2 linked regions of the Elephas maximus indicus genome follow. The protein of the gene in region 1 interacts with the protein of each later gene in a biochemical or structural test. Links are inferred from orthologs where the notes say so. Each region holds a gene or a part of one and is shown on either strand. Other genes may lie near its edges. The genes, in order: SELP and CD24.

Region 1 (8,188 bases):
ACATCAATTGGTCCCAACCCGCTTGGAGCAAAGGAGAATGAAGAACACCAAAGATACAAGGAAAGTATTAACCCAAGAGACAAAAGAGCCACATAAACCAGAGACTTCATCAGCCTGAGACCAGATGAACCAGACGGCGCCTGGACTACTACCAATGACTGCCCTGACCGGGAACACAACAGAGAGTCTTTGACGGAGCAGGAGAAAAGCGTGGAGCAGAACTTAAATTCACGTAAAAAGGCCAGACTTAATGGTCTGACTGAGACTGGAGGAACCCCTGAAGCCATGACCCCTGGACTTTCTGTTAACCCCAAACTAAAACCATTCCTGAAGCCAACTCTTCAAAGATTAGACTGGACCATAAAAAGTAAAATAATGGAATACTATGCGTCGATAAAGAACAGTGAGGAATCTGTGAAACATTTCATAACGTGGAGGAACCTGGAAGGCATTATGCTGAGTGAAATTACTCAGTTGCAAAAGGACAAATATTGTATAAGACCACTATTATAAGAACTTGAGAAATAGTTTAAAGTGAGAAGAAAACATTCTTTTGTGGTTACGAGAGGGGGGAGGGAGGGAGGGTGGGACAGGGACATTCGCTAATTAGATAGTGGATAAGAACTACTTTAGGTGAAGGGAAAGACAGCACACAATACAGGGGAGGTCAGCACAACTGGACTAACCAAAACGCAAAGAAGTTTCCTGAGTAAACTGAATGCTTCGAAGGCCAGCGTAGCAGGGGCAGGGGTCTGGGGACCATGGTTTCAGGGGACATCTAAGTCAATTGGCATAATAAAATCTATTAAGAAAACATTCTGCATACCACTTTGAAGAGTGGCGTCTGGTGTCTTAAACGCTAGCAAGCAGCCATCTAAGATGCATCAGTTGGTCTCAACCCACCTGGATCAAGGAGAATGAAGAACACCAAGGACACAAGGCAATCACCAGCCCAAGAGACAGAAAGGGCCACATGAACCAGAGACTACATCATCCTGAGACCAGAAGAACTAGATGGTGTCCGGCTACAACCGATGACTGCCCTGACAGGGAACACAACAGAGAACCCCTAAGGGAGTGGGAGAGCAGTGGGATGCAGACCCCGAATTCTCATAAAAAGACCAGACTTAATGGTCTGACTGAGACTAGAAGGACCCCAGTGGTCATGGCCCCCAGACCTTCTCTTGGCCCAGGACAGGAGCCATTCCTGAAGCCAACTCTTCAGACATGGATTGGACTGGACAATGGGTTGGAGAGGGATGCTGGTGAGGAGTGAGCTTCTTGGATCAGGTGGACACTTGAGACTATGTTGGCATCTCCTGCCTGGAGGGGAGATGAGAGGGTGGAGGGGGTTAGTTGCTGGCGAAATGGACATGAAAAGAGAGTGGAGGGAGAGAGTGGGCTGTCTCATTAGGGGTAGAGTAATTGGGAGTGTGTAGCGAGGTGTAAATGGGTTTTTGTGTGAGAGACTGACTTGTAAACTTTCACTTAAAGCACAATAAAAATTATTAAAAAAAAAAGTAAAATAATACTCGTGAACAGTGTTGTGGATAAAAAAAATACATGAGACTAAATGGGCAGCTCCGGTCCGGAGGTGGGATGAGAAGACAGAAAGGGACAGGAACTGGTTGAATGGATATTGGAAACCCAGGATGAAAAGGGGGAGTGTGTTGTCACATTATAGGGAGAGCAACTAGGGTCACATAACAATGTATATATAAATTTTTGTAGGAGAAATTAACTTGAGCTGTAAACTTTCACCTAAAGCATAATTAAAAAAAAAAAAAAAACTGAATGTACAAGATGATTCCAATTCCATTAAAAACATTCCACAGAAAAACAAACTGTTAAGTAAGTACGCCAGGGTGCTAGTATTATGACTGATATTTTTTCCTTTATTGTGCTTTTTCTAAATTTTCTTTTTTTTACAGTGAACATGTATTATATTAACAACAAGGGAAAGCTATATGTTCATTTTTAAAGCTTATACTACAGCTCTATTCTCTGAGTAGAGGGACCAGCTGTGCAGGTAGAACTTTTCTGAGCAATTAGCCACCTGTGAGTAGACCCAAAAAGCCCTGGGTAGTGCAAAAGGTTAAGCACTGGACTACTAACTGAAAGCTGATGGCTTGAACACATCCAGGGGTGCTGTGGAAGAAAGGGTTGGCGGTATGCTTCCAAAAGGCCACAGCTTTGAAAACCCTCTGCTACATATGGGGTCACCATGAGTCAGAATCAACTTGATGGTAACTGGTTTGGTTTTTGGTTTCGAGTACACCCAGATGCCATATGGTACATATGCAGACCACGACCATGAGGCCTGGCCCGGTCCTGGCCATCCCTACCTCTCCAGCCTCCAATCCCTCCTGCCAGCCACTGTGGCTGTCTCTCCCGGCTGCGCCAAGCCTCAACTGGTCTAGAATGTTCTCTCTAAACAGCATAATAACTCTTACTCAGATTCAGATCTTAGCTCATTAGTCACTCCCTCAGAGGCGCTTTCCTCAGGTCAAGTTCCCATCATACCCTCTTCACTGTATCACATTTTTCCATACTGCAATTATTTGTGTTGTTTTTTATTTACTACCTGCTGCCCTCCTCTGGCACTGTGAGCTTCACAGCCGTGAGGACTGTGTCCTTTTCTGCTCACTTTTGAATCCCTAGTGCTGGCACACAGTCTGGAGCCTCCAGTTGCTTAAATATTTCTAGTATGTGTGATTGCACCCCTATGGTGAGATAGGCAGAGTCTGCCGAGGAGGAGGGAAGGACCACTTCACTGTGTCTAATCCAGAGTCACCAGTCAAGTGAATGCAAGTCACCCATGCAAGTCAGTATGTATCTACCTTCTGCTAGAAGAGATGCAAGGCCAATATAGGAATGGATTCCTTCCCTCAGGGAACTCAGGGTATAATATGGGGGGATGAGAAAAACACGCAACACAGCTAAGCCATACTACTAATTAAATTATATTTCAATTATATCATAACTTTAATGGCAACATAATTGTTGTTAGCTGCAGTCGAGTCTGCCCCCAACTGAGGGTGAACCCATGCCTGGTCAATGGAACTAAATGCTGCCTGGTCCTTTGCCATCCCCACAACCCATTGTAGACGACTGTTGTGACCCTTAGGGTTTTCACTGGCTGGTTTTCTGCAGTGGTTTCTCAGGCCTTTCTTCCTAGTCCGTCTTAATCTGGAAGCTCTCCTGAAACCTGTTCAGCATCATAGCAGGACGTAAACCTCCTCTGACAGGCGGTGGCTGCACGTGAGGTGCTTCGATTGACTGGGAACGGAACCTGGAATTCAACCATTGAACCGCCGCTGCCTCCTGGCAACATAATTAGAAACGACCTAAATTTTCTACGAAGGCGCCCTGGGGGTGCAAGGGTTAAGCGCTCGGTTGCTTACTGAAAGGTCCGTGGTTTGACCCACCGGTGGCTCTGTGGAGAGAAGACCTGGTGCTCTGCTCCCGTAAAGATTACCGCCTAGGAAGCCCTACGGGCAGTTCTGCTCTGTCAAATAGGGTTGCTACGAGTCAGAATTGACTCGAGGGCACACGACAACAACACTTTTCTACATAGGTTACATGCATAAGAACAGATGGTGTTCAGCCTGAACAGCTTTTAAACAGAGCCAAGTAGAGTTTTCCTCCCATTCCCATTCCCAGGAATCCTCTTTGCTCTCCACGAATCACTTAAATTTAATATCGTCAAACTTAAAGCACATTGTCAATAAGAACCTATCAGTCTACATAGTACCCTCCCCTGTCCATGAGAAGTTAAAAAAAAAAAAAAAAAAAAATGAGGCAATGCCAAAAAAAAGGGTGGCTGGAGAGTGAAAAGAACAGGAGGAGACAGAGGCAAGTCTTCTAAAAAGAACAGTAAGCCAACAGTGTGCCTGTTGCTGTTTTAGTAGCTTTACATGTAAAGTAGTCTCTGTGCATTGGGTTGACTATTATTATCCTTATCTATTATCATGGCTTAGCAAATTGAGTCAAGAGATTGAGTAACAGTCCAGGTCATGCAGTTGGTGGGCGGTAGAGACAGGCAGTCTGGCTCCAAGGGCTGGGCTCTGATCCACTGCATTTTGCTGCCTTGAAATTCTCCATTCTTTTCTCTCCTTCAGATTCCCTCATTCCCTGGTGAGTCATTCCTTCATCACCACCTCTTTCACCAGACTTTCTGTTTCTGTTATGTAACCCCTTTCTCTCAGCCCCAGATTCCTAAGTGTTTAAATGCTACCTCAAGCTCCTTAAATCACCTTTACCTGTAGGCTTCTTTTCCAGATTGTCCCATTTTATCCCATGTTTTATCTTTCCATGAGATGCCTGTGTACAAGCTGTAACAATCAGGACGGAATGAAGAACAACATCTACTAACACACAACCAGCGTCCGAGAGGGTAAATTAGAATTATGGTCTTCTGACCTGATACCAAATACCTGATACTTGGTTTTGCCATCTGAAAACCAATCTGAAAAGTCATAATAACAGCTACCATTTGTTGTATGCCAGGTATTGTTTCAAGCTCTTTACACACACGAACTCACTGAATCCTACGACAACCCCGTAAGGTAAATTCTGTTATTATTGTCCTATTTCACAGGTGAGAAAACAGAGGCACAGAGAGTCTAAGTAGTTTGCCTAATGGCTAGCCAGAGGTGGAACCAGGATGGATCTCAGGCAGTTTAACACCAAGGTCCAAGCCGTAAGCACTGCGTCACAGAGTCTCCATCCTACAGACTCCATGGGCAGAGAAATATAGCCCTTCCATTTTAAAATCATCTTTTTTTTTTCTGACATAAAGAGCAGAAATTTCTTTCCAATGATCTGTGCCTGTTTTATACATCTTTTCAAAACTCTTTCCAATAATGTCTCCCAAGTGCCAGGAAACCCTCAAGGGCTGCTTTCCCCTTAAAGGTTGCTGGAATAATAGCACTCGCTGAGATTTCAAAAGAACTGGAAAATTTACACTTAGAATATCATGATTAATACAAAGCATGTTTTCCAACTGTATACTCTCAAATTGTGGTGCAGATCTTAATCGAAGGAAACCTGATCCCTGGGGGTGTGGGGACTATTCCGACATTGCTCACCCTGGGGTGTCCAGGAGTGATTCACAATTACCCTGTTGCCAGACCATCCCCGTGGAAGTAGGCGACCCCTGCCCTCAGTGACTGCATTTCTGCATTCCAGCTTTGCTCCTGTGTTATCAACATTCTAACCTCCTGGGAGGGGCTGTGGTGAATTTCGGGAAGGTGGATAGGAAGCTGCTTTTTTAAACAGCCTGACACTGAGTGCAGGCAGTGAGGCCATAAGAAGCCTGGGTTGAGCAGAAGGCAGAAAGCGAGCAGAGTCCGCAGAGGAGATGGTAAGTTCATTCCTCTTTCATATGGGAAGTGGATGAGTTGGAGTGAGCTTGGGCCTGAATCAGGACGCTGAAGGTTAAAAAAGAGAGCAATAGCAAGAGCCATGGAGCTTTATGCTGAAGGGCCTTTTAGAGTGTACAAACAAGTACTTCAGCAGCTGCTGCCCCCTTTGACCCTCCCCTTAGCCTTGTGCAGTTGAGGTTGTTCCCATTTTACAGATGAAATGTGTGCCTCACAGTGTGCCTTGCAGAGCCTGCGTGGTTTACCCAAGGCTGGACACTGTCAGGATCTGGACTCCTGTCCTCTGGTAAATCTACAACCTCCTTCTCCAGGACTGCTCTCCTCTCTGGGTTGAATGCAAAGCTGAGCCAGTGCCCTGGGACAAGCCTGTGGTTGAAAGGTTCTTCAACCCCAGCCCTCCCGTTTCTTTCTCTGAGACCTAGGAGTCTGCTGGGACTGACCTGGAGTATATACATGGTTCCCACTTCTGTGATATGTCTCAATCCTGTTTGTGACTCAGTTCCCTCATCTATAAAATAGGTATAACAGTAGTGCTCTATTTCATAGTGTCATCGTAAAGAGTAAATAAGATTACGCTGGAAAGCATTTAGATATGAGCCTGACACATAGTAAGTGATGGATGAATGTTACCTATTATTGTTATGAGAAAGAAAATTTTGGGGGGTACAATGGGGCTGAGGATCCAGGGGAGACCCACGAAAGACTAGGCATTCTTGCACACAGTAATGATTTCCTAAATCAGACACACACGGTTAAGTCACTTTTTATTTTACCCCTGGTTTACTGGGAGAATCCCACACTGTTCCAGGGTCCAAAATCCTGCAGGCTCTGGCTAAGGAGGGGCCAGGCTGATCTCTGCCCTGGGCACCTGTCTATGAGATTCCAGAAGAAAGCAGCACTTACACCGATTCACCACACCTCTTCACTATCATACACTTTTCAAGTGCCCGAACTGAGGTGTCTGTGTTGGGGAAACGGGGATAAGAGGTTGGCGAAGAGAAGAGGAAGCACTTCAAGCTTGTCCTGAGTTTGAACCACAATGACATAAGAATGTGGACTAACTTTGTCTTATCTGCTGCTGTCTTACTTTTCCTGAATCGGACAACATACACGAATATGCAGTTATTTCTGTCTTCCTTATATCCTGTCTTTGGCACCCTCCTCTATTTCAGAGATATGTAAACATAGTGGATCACAGAGTCCTTTGAGATCCTGATAAAAGCTACAATTCCTCTTCCAAGACAAAAGTGCGAACACCTGCGTGAACCTCAGCCTTTCTCAACAATCGCAGGGTGTTCTGCGTGACTCCTGGGTTAAGAATCCACCCTGCAGCCCCCTATGCTTAATGCTCAGATGCTCCAAGGGGGAGGGGGCAGTAATAATAATAATAACTAATATAATAATAATAATGAATATTTATCGAGCCTTCACCACACGCCAGACACTGGGCCAAAGGCCTTAATTTTGTGACCTCATCAAATCCTCCAACAGTGAGGTAGGCACTCTACCATGAAGTGCAAGGACCCCAGCCCTGTGACGTTTTTCACAATCCAGAGACGAGGCTTCTTCCTTTGCCCCTGGGCACATTTGGCCCTTGGCATTCAGGAGTCTCAAAGTGTCTGTTCTGTTTCAGGTTCCGAAAGTGGCTCCAGTGAACCTGAAGGACCTCAGGAAACAAGGCTAAGGTTTAGCTGGCAAGTTGTTTTCAATCAGAAAGACCTCGGAAAGAGAGCTCTTGAGTGGAAGCTTAAATCATGCTGATGTTACTCAAAGTTTTTAGTGGGCTACAACCCACCAAGCTGTGGATTCTCTCCCATTATAGTTTTTCACCATCTTAGGTCTGTGACTTTTAACTCCTACTCTTCTTTCCATTACCAGTTTTCCAAAACGCGGCTAAGTGGTTCAGACTCTCTTGGGATGGCCACTGTTTCTTTTTTTTTTTTTTGGCCACTGGTTCTTAAAATGTGCAGCCTCAGAGTTGTGTAGGTGGAAGCTTAGTAACCAAATCCTCAAAAAAAAGGACTCAGAACAGAACAGGTGGAACTGAGAAAAGACTGTGGACCCAACACTAGAGAGTAGATAGACTGTAGTTTCCTAAATGGCATTTATTACATTGTCTTCTCAGTATCCAGCTCCTCTGATTGAAAAGCAGAACAGAAATTCTATAAAGTCACATAGCTAACCCTCGTATTAGGAGGGCTATAGCTTGGCTAGGGTCCAACAAGACATTTTTTATAGGCATACGACTTCATTTTTAATGCTTACATTTTGCCCTAAGTAACGATGGTCGGTAGTCTCAGTTGAATACGTGTCTATATTCTATGTCTTAATGTCCTGGGCTCCTTCCTGCCTTTATTTCTAACTTGCTATCAGGCAATCTCTTTTCTCACTGGGTTTCATTTTTCTACCTTTAAGCCAGACCTACTAATAGCTTGTCACACCATCACTCCTCTCCCCAGAATCTTAAGAGGAATAATCTTATATCAGTTATAATGCCTTGTAAAATCTGGGTTTTGTCACCAGCAAGTTGTGTAGTTTTGCCTCCTCAATGATTCTCATATCCACCTTCCCACTTTGCATTCCCATTGGCCCCAGTCCAAGCCAGGTCCCCTTTAACTCCCACTGGGTCTATTGCAGAGTCCCTCAGTGACACAAATGGCTAAGCATTCAATTACTAACCAAAAGGTGGGCAGTTTGAACCCACCCAGAGGCACCTTGGAAGAAAGACCTGGAGATATGCTTCCGAAAGGTCACAGCCTTGAAAACCCTATGTAGTGCAGTTCTACTCCGCAACACATGGAGTT
Region 2 (4,890 bases), about 140 Mb from region 1:
GATGGGACATCATATCAGAGCTGGGGAGATTCACTACCCAGGGCATCATTCATTCACCCCTCAGTTATGTCCTGATGGTGTTCGAGATCTACTAGCTGACTGGAACTGTGCCATATGGCCTGGGACCGGCGGGGGAAGCCGAAGGGAAACCACCGTTTATTGAACCTTGAATACTTGCTAGGCACCACAGCAGGGCTTTACACGAGCTATTTAACTAAATTAATTAATTGCTTTGTCAATGGACAGTTCACTTCTGGCAAGCCACTGCTCTTCTCTGGGCCTTAGTTTCCCCCTCTGTGAAGTGCAGATGGGCCTGGAGGACAGGTCTTTAAAGTATCTCCCATTCCAGTATTCCAAAGTCTAACAGACAAGTCAATAACCTCCCCGAGCCCAGTTTCCCCTTCTGTGAAATGGGGTGGTAATAACCCCTGCCTCAATGTGAGGATGCGGTGAGTACAGGGCATGTACCAGTGAGCACTGGGCTCGGTGCCCTCACAAGGGAGGAGCTACTGCTATGACAGGCAGGGGTGGGGGCAGACAGGGCATCTGTCCAGAGCTGCTGATTACGGTTCTCACTCCACCCACTGTCCCCCCAATGATACTTGCTGCCATTTCCTGGGAAATGGTGCTGAGCCATCTCCACTCTAAGCTTTCCAGCTGCTCCTGACCATATTTCATCCCCACACCTCACAGAGGGGCTGAGACAAAGGTTCTAAGAGATACATTTAAAATGCACTACCGTCCTGTCCTCTAGCTGTTTAAAGGTGTCAATGGCCCCCTGCTGTTCCTGAAGCAAAATCCCAGAACTTGAAGGGCTTTCAAGGCCCCTGCGGCCCAGCTCTTAACTCCATTCCTCCAGCCCCATCCACACTGATCCAGATGCCAAAACTGAGGCCTGGAGAGGTGACAAGACTCACCAAGGCTCCTGTAACTGGAGATGGCAGAGCCAGATTCAAACCCAGGCCTTCAGGGTCAGGCCCTGGGACTCACCAGCCTGCAAACGCTGTGCAGAAACCTCTGCCTCCTGGAGATATGGGCCCATTCAGGCAGCGTGTGACCATCAAACACAGACATGGAGAAAAAGCGTCTTTGCCAGCGGTTAAGACAGAAGTGCATTGGATGGGCCCATATCTCCAGGAGGCAGAGGTTTCCATCCCCCTCACCGGAAGACATTTGCTTCCTCCACCTCTGCCACTCCCTCCACATTGCTTTCCTCAAGGAAAGCCAAAAATAAGTACCAGCTGCCATTGAGTTGACTCTGACTCATGGCGACCTCATGTGTGTTAGAGTAGAACTATGCTCCTTAGGTTTTCAGTGGCTGATTTTTCAGAAGTAGATGGCCGGGCCTTTCTTCCGAGGTGCCTCTGGGTGGACGGGAATCTCTACACTTTTGGTTAGCAGCTGAGCATGTTAACTGTTTGCGCCACCCAGGGACTCAAAAAAAAAAAAAGTAAACAAAAAGAACTCCGTTGGTGTGTACACCATTCCCAAATGGCAAAGAGGAAGTCAGAAAATTCTTCAGACTGCCCCCTAAACATTTAGAAAAAGAGAGTGAGATTCCTGAAGAGGCAGGAAGCAGTGACATAGGAAAAGCAAAGAAAAAGTAGGATTTTATTTTCTGGGATATAAAGAAAATACTTACATCCTACAAAATAAAGGTCAAAGAGGATACTGAGTGACTTTAAAATTTCTCTTCAAGCTATATGAAAACCAAAAGTCTTTAAAACTTCTATTAAATTTTAGCAGTAGAGGGTCAGCAAAAAAGGGGAAGACCCTCGATGATACGGATTGACAACGGGGCTGCAACAATGGGCTCAAACATAACAAGGATTGTGAGGATGATGCAGGACCGGGCAGGGTTTCGTTCTGTTGTATGTAGGGTTGCTATGAGTTGGAACCGACTCGACGGCATCTAACAACATGACATTAAATTTCTTATTATAAGTCATTCCCTAAATTTCGAACATTAGTGAAGGTAGTATTTCCATCCATTCTAGTCATTCGAAAGGATAGGTTCCCATTCAGACTTTCAGTGCTCCATTATCAACCATGAACTTCCTGTCTTTATTCTTTAATTTCCACTGTCTACTGTCTATAGTCTTTTTTTATTAAACAATTGGAAATTTAAAAAAGTTATATGTGATAAGAGTTGTGGAAAATGAAACACTTATTTTTTAATTTTAATTTTTATTGTTATAAAAATAGATATAACATGCACCAATTCAACATTTCTTACGTGTACAATTTAGTGACACCAATTAATCATGTTGTGCAACCATCACTAATAATTGGTGCCAAATTTCTATCAGAAAACTTTTATAAACAGAAACTCATTGCTTCTTAACAATGACCTTCCTGAAACCGAAAAACCCATTGCCATCGAGTCAATTCTGACTCATAGCAACCCTATAGGACAGAGTAGAACTGCCCCATAGAGTTTCCAAGGAGCGCGCTTGGTGGATTTGAATGGCTGACCATTTGGTTTGTAGCCGTAGCACTTAACCACTACGCCACCAGGGTTTCCCTTCTGTCCCTGGTAACCACTAATATTCTCTGCCCATTTACCTATTCTAAATATTTCATGTAAGTGGGATCATACGCTATTTGTCCTTTTGTGACTGACTTCACTCAGCATAATGTTCTCAAGGCTCATCCATATGGTAGCATGTCAGGTCTATGGTTTTTTTTTTTTTTTTTTTAAAGCAATTTATGCCTTGGTTGGGCAGTGGATAAGGAAGACCGAAGAATTGATGCCTTTGAATTATGGTCACACCATAATTCTGGACTGCCAGAAGAACGAACAAATCTGTCTTGGAAGAAGTACAGCCAGAATGCTCCTTAGAAGCAAGGATGATGAGTCTTCTTCTCATATATTTTGGACATGTTGTCAGGAGGGATCAGTCCCTGGAGAAGAACATCATGCTTGGTGAAGTAGGGGGTCAGGGAAAAAGAGGAAGACATTCAATGAGATGGACTGACACAGTGGCTGCAACAATGGGCTCAAACATAGTAATGATTGTGAGGATGGTGCAGGACTGGGCAGTGTTTCGTTCTGTTTCACATAGGGTCGCTGTGAGTTGGAATCAACTCCATGGCACCTAACAGCAACTTGCCTTGGTTTGTTCTAGCTTGAATTCCACCAATCCCACATCTCAGAAATCAACCTGCTGGTTCAATCCCCAAAAGAAACATATAACCAGTGTAGAAAAGTTGGAAACACAGAAATCCCATCAGCCAGAAACAACGAAGACTAACACCATGGCGTATTTTTTGACTTCTCCATAAAATACGTAAACAAAACAAAACGCACTGCCATCCAGTTGATTCTGACTCACAGTGACCTTATAGGACAGAGTGGAACTGCCCCATGGAGTTTCCAAGGCTGTAATCTTTACAGAAGCAGACTGCCACATCTTTCTCCTGCAGAGCGGCTGGTGAGTTCGAACCGTCCACCTCTCAGTTAGCAGCCAAGCACTTTAACCACTACACCACCAGGGCTCCTATAAAATACATGGGAATACTTAAAATGAGACACAGAGTTTGATGTGCAACCTTTTAAACTAGTTGCTTCTTTTAAAAGATCTTAATTACAGTAAAATGCTCATGATAAATGATGTTAAGCTAAAGTCCTGGATACAAAGTACAATCTTCATTGTGTAAAAGACATGCATATAGTCCACATAAAAACATACCAATTGTAAATAATGATTATCTCCAGGTATAAAGCTCTTTTCATTCTCTGGGATACCAACTTTCTCCAACAACAAACACGTATTATTCATAAGAATCGGGGGAAAAAATAAGGCCATTTGAAAAAAGTCAACGGAAACCTTAGATTTCTAAGTAAGGGGGTCCAGGTTCTCTGAGCAAGTTTTAAATGTTTTCTTTGAAAATCAGTTGGGCGGACAAGCGGGCGGTTGCCGGTGGGCCAGTAGGCGGGCGTTCTGACGTCAGGGCGCTGTTACAGGGCTGGGACATTGTGACGCCGCTGGTACATAAGGCTCCGGCCCGCGGCCCTTCGCGCCAGCTCGCCTGTCCCTGCCTGGAGCCCGGTGGTCCTCCATCCCCTAGAGCAGCGAGCCCGACGCGTCGCGCACCGACAGAGTGGACATGGGCCGGGGAATGCTGGTCGCTCTGGGCCTGGCCCTGCTGATTCTGGCGCTGCTCCTTCCTACGCAGGTTTATTCACAGGAAACGACCTCAGCGACCACCACCACGGCTTCGGGTGCCATCGCTCTGCAGTCTACAGTAAGCGTCCTTGTGATCTCGCTCTCCCTTCTTCTCCATCTCTTCTTTTAACAGACCTAGGCCCCGAACCATCTTCACTTCTCCAGTCCATCTTCTAAAACCCAACCCAAATGGCTTCTAGAGGTCTGGCATGGCGAGGAAAAACAAAACACGTCTTCGTCAAATCTGCTGATTCCACTCCTTGTTTGATTGACTTTGAAGATATTGAGAACCCCAGACTTGACTGGTCTGAAGAGCACCTGAAGGCTTTGACTAGATGATGAATCCCAATATTAAATCTACTGGAACTTCGTGTGCAAGACTGGAGAGAGACACAACGTCCAAAGTTAGTTAAAGGATCAATTTCGTTAAACAAGGCTTAAGAAATAACAGACTTTTAAATCGACCTTGACGATGAGAAACGACCTCACTTTGATCTAAAACTGATGGGTTGTGGAGTGGAGATTTGGTTATCTTTGTGATTCATTGAATCTAGAAGGCCATAAAAATGATTGGGTGATGTAAAAATCTTCCTTGATTCTGTTTTTATGTAAGTTAAAAGGAGCCTCTAGGTGTTACCGTAAATCAGTACTCATTTAGTGTTGCTATGTTCTATATTTTTACACTGTTAAGCTTACACTGTTGTTTTGGGAACAAACTCTT

The links.
Region 2: the proteins of SELP (region 1) and CD24 form a complex in vitro, tested with the Homo sapiens proteins (2 studies listed by BioGRID and IntAct). The link is inferred for Elephas maximus indicus from reciprocal best matches to the Homo sapiens genes SELP and CD24.

The regions. Positions count from the first base shown.
Region 1 is NC_064821.1:214,369,151-214,377,338, forward strand, and holds the start of SELP (P-selectin), read left to right. Parts: upstream 1-5,112; 5' UTR 5,113-5,362; coding exon 5,363-5,365; intron 5,366-8,188. UniProt on the Homo sapiens protein: Ca(2+)-dependent receptor for myeloid cells that binds to carbohydrates on neutrophils and monocytes. Mediates the interaction of activated endothelial cells or platelets with leukocytes. The ligand recognized is sialyl-Lewis X.
Region 2 is NC_064821.1:71,461,257-71,466,146, reverse strand, and holds CD24 (signal transducer CD24), read left to right. Parts: upstream 1-4,110; coding exon 4,111-4,299; downstream 4,300-4,890.